Linked DNA regions of Callithrix jacchus. The protein of the gene in region 2 purifies or fractionates together with the protein of the main gene of each other region. This does not show direct contact. Links are inferred from orthologs where the notes say so. Each region holds a gene or a part of one and is shown on either strand. Other genes may lie near its edges.

The links.
Region 1: the proteins of EHMT1 (region 2) and CBX1 purify together in Homo sapiens (affinity purification with mass spectrometry; 3 studies listed by BioGRID and IntAct, with this or other methods). This does not show direct contact. The link is inferred for Callithrix jacchus from reciprocal best matches to the Homo sapiens genes EHMT1 and CBX1.
Region 3: the proteins of EHMT1 (region 2) and CTBP1 purify together in Homo sapiens (affinity purification with mass spectrometry; 3 studies listed by BioGRID and IntAct, counting the BioPlex papers as one, with this or other methods). This does not show direct contact. The link is inferred for Callithrix jacchus from reciprocal best matches to the Homo sapiens genes EHMT1 and CTBP1.

The regions. Positions count from the first base shown.
Region 1 is NC_133506.1:118,186,798-118,191,036, forward strand, and holds the start of CBX1 (chromobox protein homolog 1), read left to right. Parts: upstream 1-1,366; 5' UTR 1,367-1,577; intron 1,578-4,239. UniProt on the Homo sapiens protein: Component of heterochromatin. Recognizes and binds histone H3 tails methylated at 'Lys-9', leading to epigenetic repression. Interaction with lamin B receptor (LBR) can contribute to the association of the heterochromatin with the inner nuclear membrane.
Region 2 is NC_133502.1:186,169,836-186,173,477, forward strand, and holds part of EHMT1 (histone-lysine N-methyltransferase EHMT1), read left to right. Parts: intron 1-1,288; coding exon 1,289-1,456; intron 1,457-1,649; coding exon 1,650-1,794; intron 1,795-2,755; coding exon 2,756-2,833; intron 2,834-3,642. UniProt on the Homo sapiens protein: Histone methyltransferase that specifically mono- and dimethylates 'Lys-9' of histone H3 (H3K9me1 and H3K9me2, respectively) in euchromatin.
Region 3 is NC_133504.1:191,935,091-191,938,732, forward strand, and holds part of CTBP1 (C-terminal-binding protein 1), read left to right. Parts: intron 1-1,342; coding exon 1,343-1,497; intron 1,498-3,642. UniProt on the Homo sapiens protein: Corepressor targeting diverse transcription regulators such as GLIS2 or BCL6. Has dehydrogenase activity. Involved in controlling the equilibrium between tubular and stacked structures in the Golgi complex.

The DNA.
Region 1 (4,239 bases), on a different chromosome or scaffold from region 2:
TCAGGAAGCTATGAGACACCTATGGGGGACTCTAGGGAATCAGGGAAGGCCTCAAAGGGGAATTAATCTTTTTTCTTTTTTTTTTTTTGAGACAAAGTGTCACTCTGCCACCCAGGCTGGAGGGCAATGGCATGATCTCGGTTCACTGCAACCTCCACCTCCCGGGTTCAAGCAATTCTCTGCCTCAGCCAACCAAGTAGCTGGGATTACAGGCACCCACCACCATGCCCAGCTAATTTTTGTATTTTTAGTAGAGACAGGATTTCACCATCTTGGTCAGGCTGAACTCCTGGTCTGGTGATCCACCAACGTTGTCCTCCCAAAGTGCTGGGATTACAGGCGTGAGCCACTGCACCCAGCCAGGGGAATTAATCTTAACACTGAGTAGGTTTTTTTTTTTAGATGGAGTTTTGTTTGTTGCCCAGGCTGGAGTGCAATGGTGCGATCTCAGCTCACTGCCACCTCCGCCTCCTGGGTTCAAGCAATTCTCCTGCCTCAGCCTCCCAAGTAGCTGGGATTACAGGTGGCACCACCATGCCCAGCTAATTTTTGTACTTTTAGTGGAGACGGGGTTTCACCATGTTGGCGAGGCTGGTCTTGAACGCCTGACCTCAGGTGATCCACACACCTCGGCCTCCCAAAATGTTGGGATTATAGGCTTGAGCCCCCGCACTCCGCCTTAAGAGGAGTTTTGCAGAGATTTGAGGAGGCGGAGATTGAGGACTACAGAAACGGTTGGAAATTTGAGGAGGCGGAGATATAATAAAGTTCTGGTTAAGAACATAAGATTAAAAAATTCAAGGATGTGAATTACCTAACTGTCCAGAAGTGGTTGATTTTTTGGGCCAAGCATCAAAGGGCTCATTTATAAAAATCACATGTCCTGGTCGGGTGCAGTGGCTCATGCCTGTAATCCCAGCACTTTGGAAGGCCGAGGCGGGCGGCTCACGAGGTCAAGAGATCGAGACCATCCTGGCCAACATGGTGAAACCCCGTCTCCACTAAAAAATACAAAAATTAGCTAGGTGTGGTGGCGCGCGCCTGTAGTCCCAGCTACTCGGGAAGCTGAGGCAGGAGAATTGCTTGAACCTGGGAGGCGGAGGTTGCAGTGAGCCAAGATCGCGCCGCTGCACTCCAGCCTGGGGACAGAGCGAGACTCCGTCTCAAAAAAAAAAAAATTATGTTCTAATTTTCTAGGTTACAACGCTCAACGCTGCAGTCGCTCCGCCGTTACAGTTTAAAACCTCGAAGTCCCTACCACCCTCGCCTACTGTGCGTGCGCAGCGCGCGGCACTTCGGGCCCTGTAGTCTTGGACTGATCCCGCGGACCAGGGTGCCATGCGGCGGGTCGCCGCGCCTGCGCGGTGCGGGCGGCGGGCAGAGCAGAGTGCGAGGCTCTTTTGTTCGGTTGAGGGGAGGGCCCTTGGCCTGGGCCTGCGGTACGCCGCTCCAGTGAGGTGCTCCATTGCGGCCACCGGGCTTGCTGCCTTCCTGGGCGCCACTCCCCCGGCCGACCCGACACGACGCGCCAGCAGCGCAGCACCGATTCCTCTCCGGCTGTTAGGCGCTGCTCTGAGGTGAGGAGCCCGCTGGAGGCGGGAGAGCTGGGGGAGGGGGCACGGTGGCGGCGGCGGCGGGAGCCCTGCGTGGGGGCCCGCGCTTTCGAGGCAGAGGTTGGGGGCGGGGAGCGGGGAGCGCGCCCGGGTCCAGCGTCCTGTTTTTCCACTTCCCGCGCTGAGCTCTCCGCCTGGCGCTGAGGCGTCGTTGCCAGCTGCGAGAAGGATGGGGAGGGCGGGGCGCGAATCCTGAGCCAGAGACTGAAGCTCTTCAGGGTGGGCCGAGCAGTTGGGGACCGCTTTTCCGGGCCCGCGTAGTCCGGGACAATGCTGCTTGGGTTGGGTGGGCGTCTGGGGATAGGGCTGGAGAGAAAACACCTTACAAGATTGGGAAGGGGACAGGCTTGAGGCTTGGATAGGTGTGGGGAGGAGCTGACGACCGCGAGACCCGAGGTTTGTAACTGTAATCGGAGGACGCCGGGTCCCGCCGGGGCTGCCAGAGAAACCTGGCTTTGCAGGACTACGGAAGAGTAACTTGGAGTTAATTGGAAAGAGGGCCCTGGGCCGCACAAAGTGTGCCGATTGGTGGAGGAGATGGAATAAATTGGGAAGGGGGGCACGGAGGGGGAGGGGCAAGCGTTTGCTGGGCCTGGCTCTGGAGGGGGAGGAGCTGTTAGGATATGTAGGGCGGAGATCCGGAGAATATTTCTGTAAGGTGTGTAAGGGAAAAGGGGAAAGCAGGCCGCCCTTGCTTCCTGATGGGTCCTTTCAGTGGGGAGGCTGTAAAATAATACGTGAAGAAAGGATTGAATACGCTTTCTTCACTTTTCCAGGTTTCCTACTGCCTTTGCTCCATGATTCCTTTGGGGAGTTAAGTCCAAGTGCAGCTCTTGCTTTGATTCAAAGTTAGTTCCATAAGTTTTTGTCTGGGATCGTTACTGGTCTCACAAAGGTGATAAAATTGTAAAATGCGTAGGTGAGTTAACAGTTAAGGAATGGAGTGAGGTAGTGATGACATCGTGTAAGGTAGGAGAAATTGGGAGACAGGAAGAGCAAGTATGTGAGATTGTGAGATAATACTTGTTTAGTGGGCCCTTCTGTTTTTTAGCCAGGTTTTCCTTTTTGGAAACTTTGAATACAGAGTGAGCAGTATTTTACCTCTTTTCCAACTATTTAGATGAGGGTTTTTCGTGAATTGATGTTACATTTAGACTTGTGTTGGTTTAAGTCAGTTGAGGTGGAATTTACAAAAAGATAGCTATAATCTGTTATACTAGAACCTCTAGCCTAGGGTAAAGTAGCCTTCTCAGTTGTGTTAAGAATCACACCAGCAGTTTGGAAAAATTGTGAAAGGTCCAAGGCTTTGGAATAGATTCAGGAATACAATGGGGAAATTAATGCCGGTGTTCCTCCTTAGGTGCCTTACAGACTTTTATAGGAAAGTGGTGAGATTGAAAATCCCTTGTATTGAAACCAGTTGCACCTTAATGAAGCTTCAGGGCAGCGGAGGACCTGAAGTCATTTACGATTTTCCCTGTGGTAATATTTTTCTTCAATGGCTGCTGTTATTCTAAATTATTTTTCACTAAAAATGTAAATAATGGGGCCGGGGATGGTGGCTCACGCCTGTCATCCCAGTACTTTGAGAGGCTGAGGTGGGCAGATCACCTGATGTCAGGAGTTTGAGACCACCCTGGCCAACATGGTGAAACCCCGTGTCGACTAACAATACCAAAATTAGCCAGGTGTAGTGTGCACACACCTGTAGTCTCAGTTCTTCGGGTGGCGGAGGCAGGAAAATAGCTCGAACCTGAGGCAGAGGTTACAGTGAGATGAGATGGCACCACTGCACTCCAGCCTGGCAACAGAGGGAGACTGTCTCAAAAAAAAAAAAAAGAAATAGTTTTGAATGTAAATAGAAGCCTAGTGCTTATAGCTTCCATATTAAAGGAGACCAAGTAAGGTACCCTAGTCTTCTGCATTTTATAAACCATATCTCCAAAGAAAAGAAGCAATCACTCTTGTGCCCATTTTAAGGACTAGGAAAATGTTTCTTTTTGTTGTTCACACCATTTGAAAAGAATTCCTTAAATTTTGGCATACTCTAGTGGTTTATCTAGCAAAACCTCCCTTTTTAAAAAATATCCTGGCTGGGCACGGTGGCTCAAGCCTGTAATCCCAGCACTTTGGGAGGCTGAGGCGGGTGGATCACGAGGTCAAGAGATCGAGATCATCCTGGTCAACATGGTGAAACCCCGTCTCTACTAAAAATACAAAAAATTAGCTGGGCATGGTGACGCGTCCCTGTAATCCCAGCTACTCAGGAGGCTGAGGCAGGAGAATTGCCTGAACCCAGGAGGCAGAGGTTGCGGTGAGCCGAGATCGCGCCATTGCACTCCAGTCTGGGTAACAAGAGCGAAACTCCGTCTCAAAACAAACAAACAAAAAAATATCCTATCTGCGGTGGTATAAGAGATTTTCCATTAGATTTGGTAGATTTTCACTTCATAGGTTCTTTCCATAAAGAGTTTTTGGAGTAGAAGGCTAATTGCTAGTTTATGGACTCCCATAAAATGGGCCATACCTCTTGTTCATCAGTGCCTGCCACATAGTAGGCTGTTCAGATTGTTGATGCATGGGGGGGCGTTGAGATCCATTCTCAGAACTCTGTGTTAGCCAAATT
Region 2 (3,642 bases):
CCTTCTGTTCCCTCATGTGGAAGTGCACCCTTGCTGTTCTATGCTCAGAGAAATGTCTTTGCCAGTCCATGTTTGAGATCAGCCGTTGTTTATTTCTGGGTTAGGGAGGATTGTCATGAAAAATTCCCACGTTCTTAGACCAGATCTTGAGTCTCAAACCTGACACTCCTGATATGGGTGAGTAGCATGGGAACAGCCCTGCTCCCGGCAGGGACCTGCCAGCTCAGAGGCCCTGAGAGGCTCAGGGTGCCTTCTGGGAGTAGCACTGCCCCCAGCCAGGGCTGGAGATGCTTGGGGCTCTGGCGCTTACTGCTCAGGGTCCTTTTAAAACTTGAGACCTTCAGCTGGGTGGCAGTGGCTCATGCCTGTAATCCCAGCACTTTGGGAGGCCAAGGTGGGCAGATCACTTGAGGTAAGGAGTTTGAGACCAGCCTGGCCAACATGGTGAAACCCCGTCTCTACTAAAAATACGAACATTAGCCAGGTGTGGTGGCTCATGCCTGTAATCCCAGCTACTCCAGAAGCTGATACAGGAGAATTGCTTGAACCCGGGAGGCGGAGATTGCAGTGAATGGATATTGCGATAGTACACTCCAGCCTGGTTGACAGAGTGAGAGTCTATCTCAAAAAAAAAAACAAAAAACCAAAAAACCTTGAGACCTCGATCCCGCAAATCACCCGCACTTGGGTTGTAGTCATTGGCCTGGGATGGAGTCTTTGTTTGGCTGCTGGGGAAGAACCCGGAGCTGTGGGTGCTCCACGCGCCAGCCTCCAGTGACTGGCCCCGACAAGTGGGGCTGTGCCCTCTCACATTTGGACATCATGATGGCTCAGCCAGGTTGGTCATTTGATCATTCCTGCCCACGCACAGTGACTGCGGTCTTGATGCAGTGGGCAGGAATGGAACTGAGAACTGCTGACGCTGTGCGTGGCCCGTGAGTGGCCTTTCTCCCTTGATGCTTCCCTTCTTGTCCTTGAGGGTAAATTTGAATGAAAAATCCAAGAAAAATCAAATGCCACCTTGGTTTTTACACACTCTTCTGCTGAAAAAAAACAGCCTGCTGACTTTGACAGTGAACATGGGAGAGGAGTAAGGGAGTGATGTTCCTAAGGGAGGTCAAGCCCATCTTTTTAGAATCGTCAGTCAGCAGACTTGGTAGTTTGTTTCCCAATGAACAGTGTGCTCCCTCTGTTTTTAGTGATGATAGTCATTTCATAAATCTCATCTTTGTGATCTTTAAATAAAATCAGCTTTAAATGTTTTGTGGGCTTACATTTTCCCTTTTAGCCTCTTTCTTTCTCGGGATTCAGATGTCACCTTAAAAAACAAGGAAGGGGAGACGCCCCTGCAGTGTGCGAGCCTCAACTCCCAGGTGTGGAGCGCTCTGCAGATGAGCAAGGCTCTGCAGGACTCGGCCCCCGACAGGCCCGTCCCTGTGGAGAGGACCGTGAGCAGGTGAGCCCCGGCCGGGATGGTGCTGTGGCCAATCAGCGGTCAGCAGGGCTTTGGGAGCTGCAGGGATAGCTTTTCCCCAGGCTGGAGTCTAGATCGCCAGGGCCAGGTGTTTGCCAGCCGCCCCACTGCACATGGCACCATGCCCTGGGCAGAGCGAGTCAGCCTCCAGGTGACACCAGCCCTTCCATGGCAGGGACATTGCTCGAGGCTACGAGCGCATCCCCATCCCCTGCGTCAACGCCGTGGATGGCGAGCCATGCCCCAGCAACTATAAGTACGTCTCTCAGAACTGCGTGACATCCCCCATGAACATCGACAGAAACATCACCCATCTGCAGGTGAGTGACGTGGACCCAGGGCTACTCAGGCCAGGACACGGGACAAGCAGAGACTTCCTGAGCCTGGGGTTCTGGGTTCTTCTCATCACTCAGAGCAGGAGGGCTCCTGGGAGGCTTCCCAGGAAGACCTCACTCTCTCTGTAGTTGCCTCCCATGAGAGAGCTGGAAAGCAGATGAAGGTTCTGTTGGGCACATTGCTCTTCCAAGGGTTCTCATCAACCCCAAAGCAGTGGCAAGCATCTGTGATGTTTTTGTAACCTCACACTCAGGGGCCCTGGTGCAGCCTCATGCCCTGTGCGAAGGGAGCCCTTGCGAGGCTGCAGGACCACTTGCGTCCCTGCACCTCCTGTTCGCTTGAGGGATGGGCCCAGCACATGCTAGCTTCCCCAGCCTCTGAGCACATGGAGCCTCGTGCCCTTACTGCCTGTGCCTTCTTGGGCACTTCCTTTGTGGCTCTGCTTGTAGGCAGCTCCCCCCCTCTTCCCAGGCCGGGCACTGCCCAGGGCCCTCTGCTCAGGGTGTGTAGGACTCTGCGTTCTTGCCTTTCCCGTCGAGCATCTGGCCACAGATGCAGCCGACACCCAGCCCTTCATCCACCCTGTGTCACCCGCTGCTATGTCGCTGCCCTGCCTGCCCCCATTCCTCTGTTGGGATCCTCAGCCAGAGCCCCCTCCCACGGGCATGTGTCATGTTTCTTAGCAACTCGAACATTCTCTCTGCCCTTCTCTTTAAGAGGCCACACACTCACGTGGTATCTTTGAGAAGCACTTAGCAGATTCAGGAGTAGCTTTGAGAATTGTAAAATGTAGTTGTGACCGGGAGGGAAGCAGAAGGTGGGTGCCTGCCCACATGTGTGACCGGGAGGGAAGCGGAAGGCGGGTCCTGCCCACAGCTGTGACCGGGAGGGAAGCGGAAGACGGGTGCCTGCCCATCTGACAACACCGGGTGCCTCTCTTCTCAGTACTGCGTATGCATCGATGACTGCTCCTCCAGCAACTGCATGTGCGGCCAGCTCAGCATGCGCTGCTGGTATGACAAGGTGAGGGCGGCCTCGTGTGCGTGGGCTCAGGCGGTAAGTGCCGCTGGTCCGGCTCTGCAAAAACAGTGCAGGTGTCTGTGACTCCAGTGCTGTCATGGCAGCATTGGGAAGGCGTCGGAGGTGAGCTGGGTGTGGCAGACAGGGGAGGCACAGTAGGCGACGGCACCCAAGTCAGGTCGTGAGCTGAGGACATGGCCACAGAGTCCCTTTTTGGCTGCCTGGATGGTAGCGGCGGTGGGCAGCCTGGCCTGCCCGGGTGGCGGTGCTGCTCATGTTGTGTGTGTCTGGTGAGCTCTGCCTTGTGCTTGCTGAATGTGAGGGGTGTGAACAGGGAGGGTGCGGCTGCACTGGGTGCAGCGAGCATGGGTGTGGGCGGGGAGGTTGGGGAGACACAGGCTTGGAAGTCTCTGGTGGGTGCTGGTGCTCAGAGGAGCCTGGGATGGGGGCCACTGAAGAGATGGGAGTGGAGGGTGGCCCTGGGTAGTAGGGATGTGGTTCAGGGAAGGACGTCTAAGCAGAGGCAGAGGGTTCCTGATGTCCCGAGTTCAGAGGTCAAGGTGGGAGCAGAAGCCAGCACAGCCTGGGTGAAGAGACGCGAGCGGGGAGAGGCAGCAGGTGTCCCCTCCAGAAGTGGAAGTTAGAGGAGGGGTGGCCAGGAGGGTGGAGTGTTTACCCATCTGAATGGGGGTCCCGATGGGAGAAGGATTAGTGCCACTGAGGGCTATGGGGGTGGCAGGCTCAGAAAGCTGCCAGGCTCGTGTCTGAGTGGTGTCTTTTGGGGTGGAGTCCTGCTGAGGGGGTGAAGGAAT
Region 3 (3,642 bases), on a different chromosome or scaffold from region 2:
GCTGCAGGAGGGGGGTCATGGGCAGCTCCTGTCCAGATGGAATGAGGGAACAGGCAAACCAGGATGTGGTTTTGATCGTGCACACCCCGTGTTTGGGGTCTGGGCAGGTCCTGGCACCTTTCCTGTCTTGAAGGCAAGTGGGTGGAATGGCCAGTGGCTCCTCTGAGGTCACTGGGGCGTGAGGACTTAGAAGGAGGAGCCTGGGCCCAGCCGTACCGGGAGCCCTCGGCTTTGGGGTGGTCAGTGGAGACCTGTGCCCTGTCCCCTGCAGGCACCTGCTGCAGGCCCATTGCACCCTTGGGCTGTCCACCAGGGTGTCTCTTTTCTCTGCCGTGGGCTCCAAGAGCCGTGTTTGCAGTGCATTCTGGGCCCTGGCGGCTTGGTGGCCTCTGCTTACCTGCTGGTAGATGGGGTGGGAGACGGCTGAGCGTGCATGTGGCTGCAGCCACTGAGGACTTTACTGGGTCACTCCGTTTCTTGGTTCTGTCCTGTGTCTCCCCTCCTGCTGGCCAAATGGTCCTGGGGGCTCCTTGGTCTCCTGGGGCCAGTCTGGGGGGTGGACCGGCCAGACCCTGGCTCCAGCTCTGCCTTTTCCCAGCACCCGGTGCTCCCTGCCTGGCACAGGGTGGCCGGGTGGTGCCTGGAAGCTGCTGTGCTTCTGTGACACCTCAGAGCCCCTCTTTCTCCATGTGGCCCCGAACGAAGCTTAGCTGTGTCATACGTGAAAGGAATAATGGGTGTTAGTGGTTTTTAATCAGCTCATTCTGGGAAGGTAGGGGCACAGTGGACTTTAACAGTGGACTTTCCTCTATAGCTCTGTTTCTTGTCCCTTCAAATTTACAAATGGAAGTGATGCCAGGCAGAGGGTGGGGCGTTCTGTGTGAAATATTGGTGACCCATCGGGGATTCCAGCAGCCACACGGTAGCCCAGGCGGAAAAGGGCAGCCATGTTCCTAAAGCCCTGTGCTGCGATCTGTGCCCTCCAGTGTCACGGGTCCCTCCTGTCCCTCCGCCTCATGGAGCTGCCCTGGGGTCTCGGGATCTCGGAGGGTATGGGGGAGTCTTGGGGAATCTCAGACAGGTCTGGGAGGGTCTCAGGGGGTCTGGGAGCCCCTGTGCCTGAGGGCAATGGTGGTGGGTGTCTGTAGTCTGTGTCCACTCGTGTCAGCGAGCTGAGGCACACAAATCTGTCTTTCCTATGGATTTTTAATTCACTTTTTACAAATATCACAACATGTAGAATGGAAAGCCCTCATCGGCCGGTGCACAGTGGGCAGTGTGGAGCAGGTTGTGGCTACGGGCTGCGGTGGTGCAAGGCTGAGCACTTGCTTCTGTCTTGCAGGCGTCCGACCTCCAATCATGAACGGGCCCCTGCACCCGCGGCCCCTGGTGGCACTGCTGGATGGCCGGGACTGCACGGTGGAGATGCCTATCCTGAAGGACGTGGCCACCGTGGCCTTCTGCGACGCACAGTCCACGCAGGAGATCCATGAGAAGGTACCACCACGTACTGTCCTGGGGCTGCCAGAGCCACATGCCGGAGGGGAGTTGGGAGGGATGGGAGCATGGGCCGCAGCAGGTCTGGATGCCACTGGGACAGGTGCAGCCTCTGTCCCTTTCACCCTGCCCCATTAGGAGATGGACATGGGGTTTCGCCTGTAGCTTCTGGATTCATTTCCAGTTTTCTCCCAGAGAGCAGGTCCTCAGGACGCTGCTTTTGTTGCAGGGCCAGAGTGAATTGCTTCCCCTGGCTCCGGGCGCACAGCGGTCTTTGCATGCGCATGGGTGGTCTTGGCATTGCCCACGACTTGGCTGTGGTCCAGCAGTGGGCAGCCTTCGGGCAGCTTTCCTGAGTCGTGTTTGCTCAGGAGATCCACAGGCTCCTCCGTGATGAGAAACAGGTCGGTCTGGCTCTGCTTGTAGCCAGAGGTTAGTGATTCAGAGCAGCTTTTCCCTGAAGACAGACGAAGAAGCTGGGTCCTCAGGAGCTAACAGGACAGAGCTACAGCTGCCCAGGCTACAATCCAGACAAGCCCAGAATCTGTAGGAACGGGTGGGCCCTGCCCGTTCTGGCCTGGGGTGTTGGCTGTTCTCGAAGAAGTGGCTGAGGGGTTGCATTTGGCATTGGCAGCAGCCATGGTCTGCAGGGTGTGGGGCCTGCTGGGACAGCCATGGCCTGTAAGGTGACACCTGGAGTGAGGGTGCCCTGGACTCTGACATGCCGTACAGTGGGCATCCAGCCTGCCAACATCGGGGGAGACTTGAGCCTGGATTTCAGGGGATCCCACACTGCCTGGCCCCAGGTGCCTGGCAGGAAGAAATGGGACAGCCCCTTCAGAGGAACGTAGCATCAGCCTGGGCCTCGGTTCATTTCTACAGATCATCGTCTGGCCCAGGGTCCGTCAAATGCAGTAGAGATAACCAGGCAGTCAGGAGATGGCAGATGAGGCATAAAGCCCAAAAGCCAGAAAAGGCAGTGCGGGTCCACCAGAGCTCCCCGAGCTGACCACGGCATGGTGACCCCAGCACAGCCCTCAGGAGGAGGCCGGGCCAGACACCGACGAGGAGCTGCTGCCCCTAAAACGGGGCATGGTGCCTCAGAGGAGGTGAGGTGTGGATCTGAGACACGCCGAAGCCGAATGGGAGAACAGAGGGGCAGGTTTAGCAGCCAGGAGGGTGAGATGAGGAGCCACCCTCACAGACACTTTGGAACAATAGAGGGGAGGGGCTGGAAGGGATGACAGCAGAAGCATTTCCAAAGGAAACATGGTGCTAAAGATGGGCGCGCGTCTGCTGCGGCCGGCGGTCGCTCTGCAAAACGCTTCCTGGTTTCTCATGCAGTTAGATGTGCGCCTGTAATGCAGCCCAGTGGCCACACTCCTTAGTCGCAGAGGCTTGGAACGCACGTCCGCGGGCAGAACCGCGCGTCATGCTCCCTGGCAACTGTAATCATCACGGCCCAAACCAGGACATGCCCCAAACCAGGACACGCCCCGGCTGCCCTTTGGCAGGTCAGTGGCCAGGCAAACGCTGGCCACCTCCCTTGGCATCCTCAGCAACAGGCGGGGGGATCTCGGTAGCGTGATGGCGAGTGAAGAGCTGGTTTCAAGGGCTGCATGCTGCCTGATCTCTTCATGTTCAGGCAGAGGCATCAGCGTGACGGAAACCATTGCTGGGGTGCGGGCGGGGGAGCTGCCAGTGGGCCAGTGTGCCGGAATCTGCACATGAGCACATCACACGGGCGTGTCCACATGCATGCCCGGCCACGGTGTACACCTGGAGTCATGTGGCACCCACTTGGTTTTGACAGTGCCCTGGCTAGTACGGTTTTCTCACTGGGAGGCTGGGTGTGTGTTAAAGACACACACGTATGGAATGGAAAAGAGGCACATGGTCAACTTGGAAAGTTGTAAGTCACACTAAAGCAGGGTCTGCCAACAGATTGGAAAACTAAGGCAAAACAGAGGTTTTCTGAAATTGCAGTAATCCCAGGCTGCCTAGACAGGTTCGTATAAAATGCAAATCAGTGGGCCGCCCTGGTTGGGGTGGGGCTGGCGTGGTCCCTGGCAGGACACAGACTCCCTGCTCTGCACCCAGATGGTACAGCCCAGGGCAGAGAAAGACATGGTAAATACTCAGAAA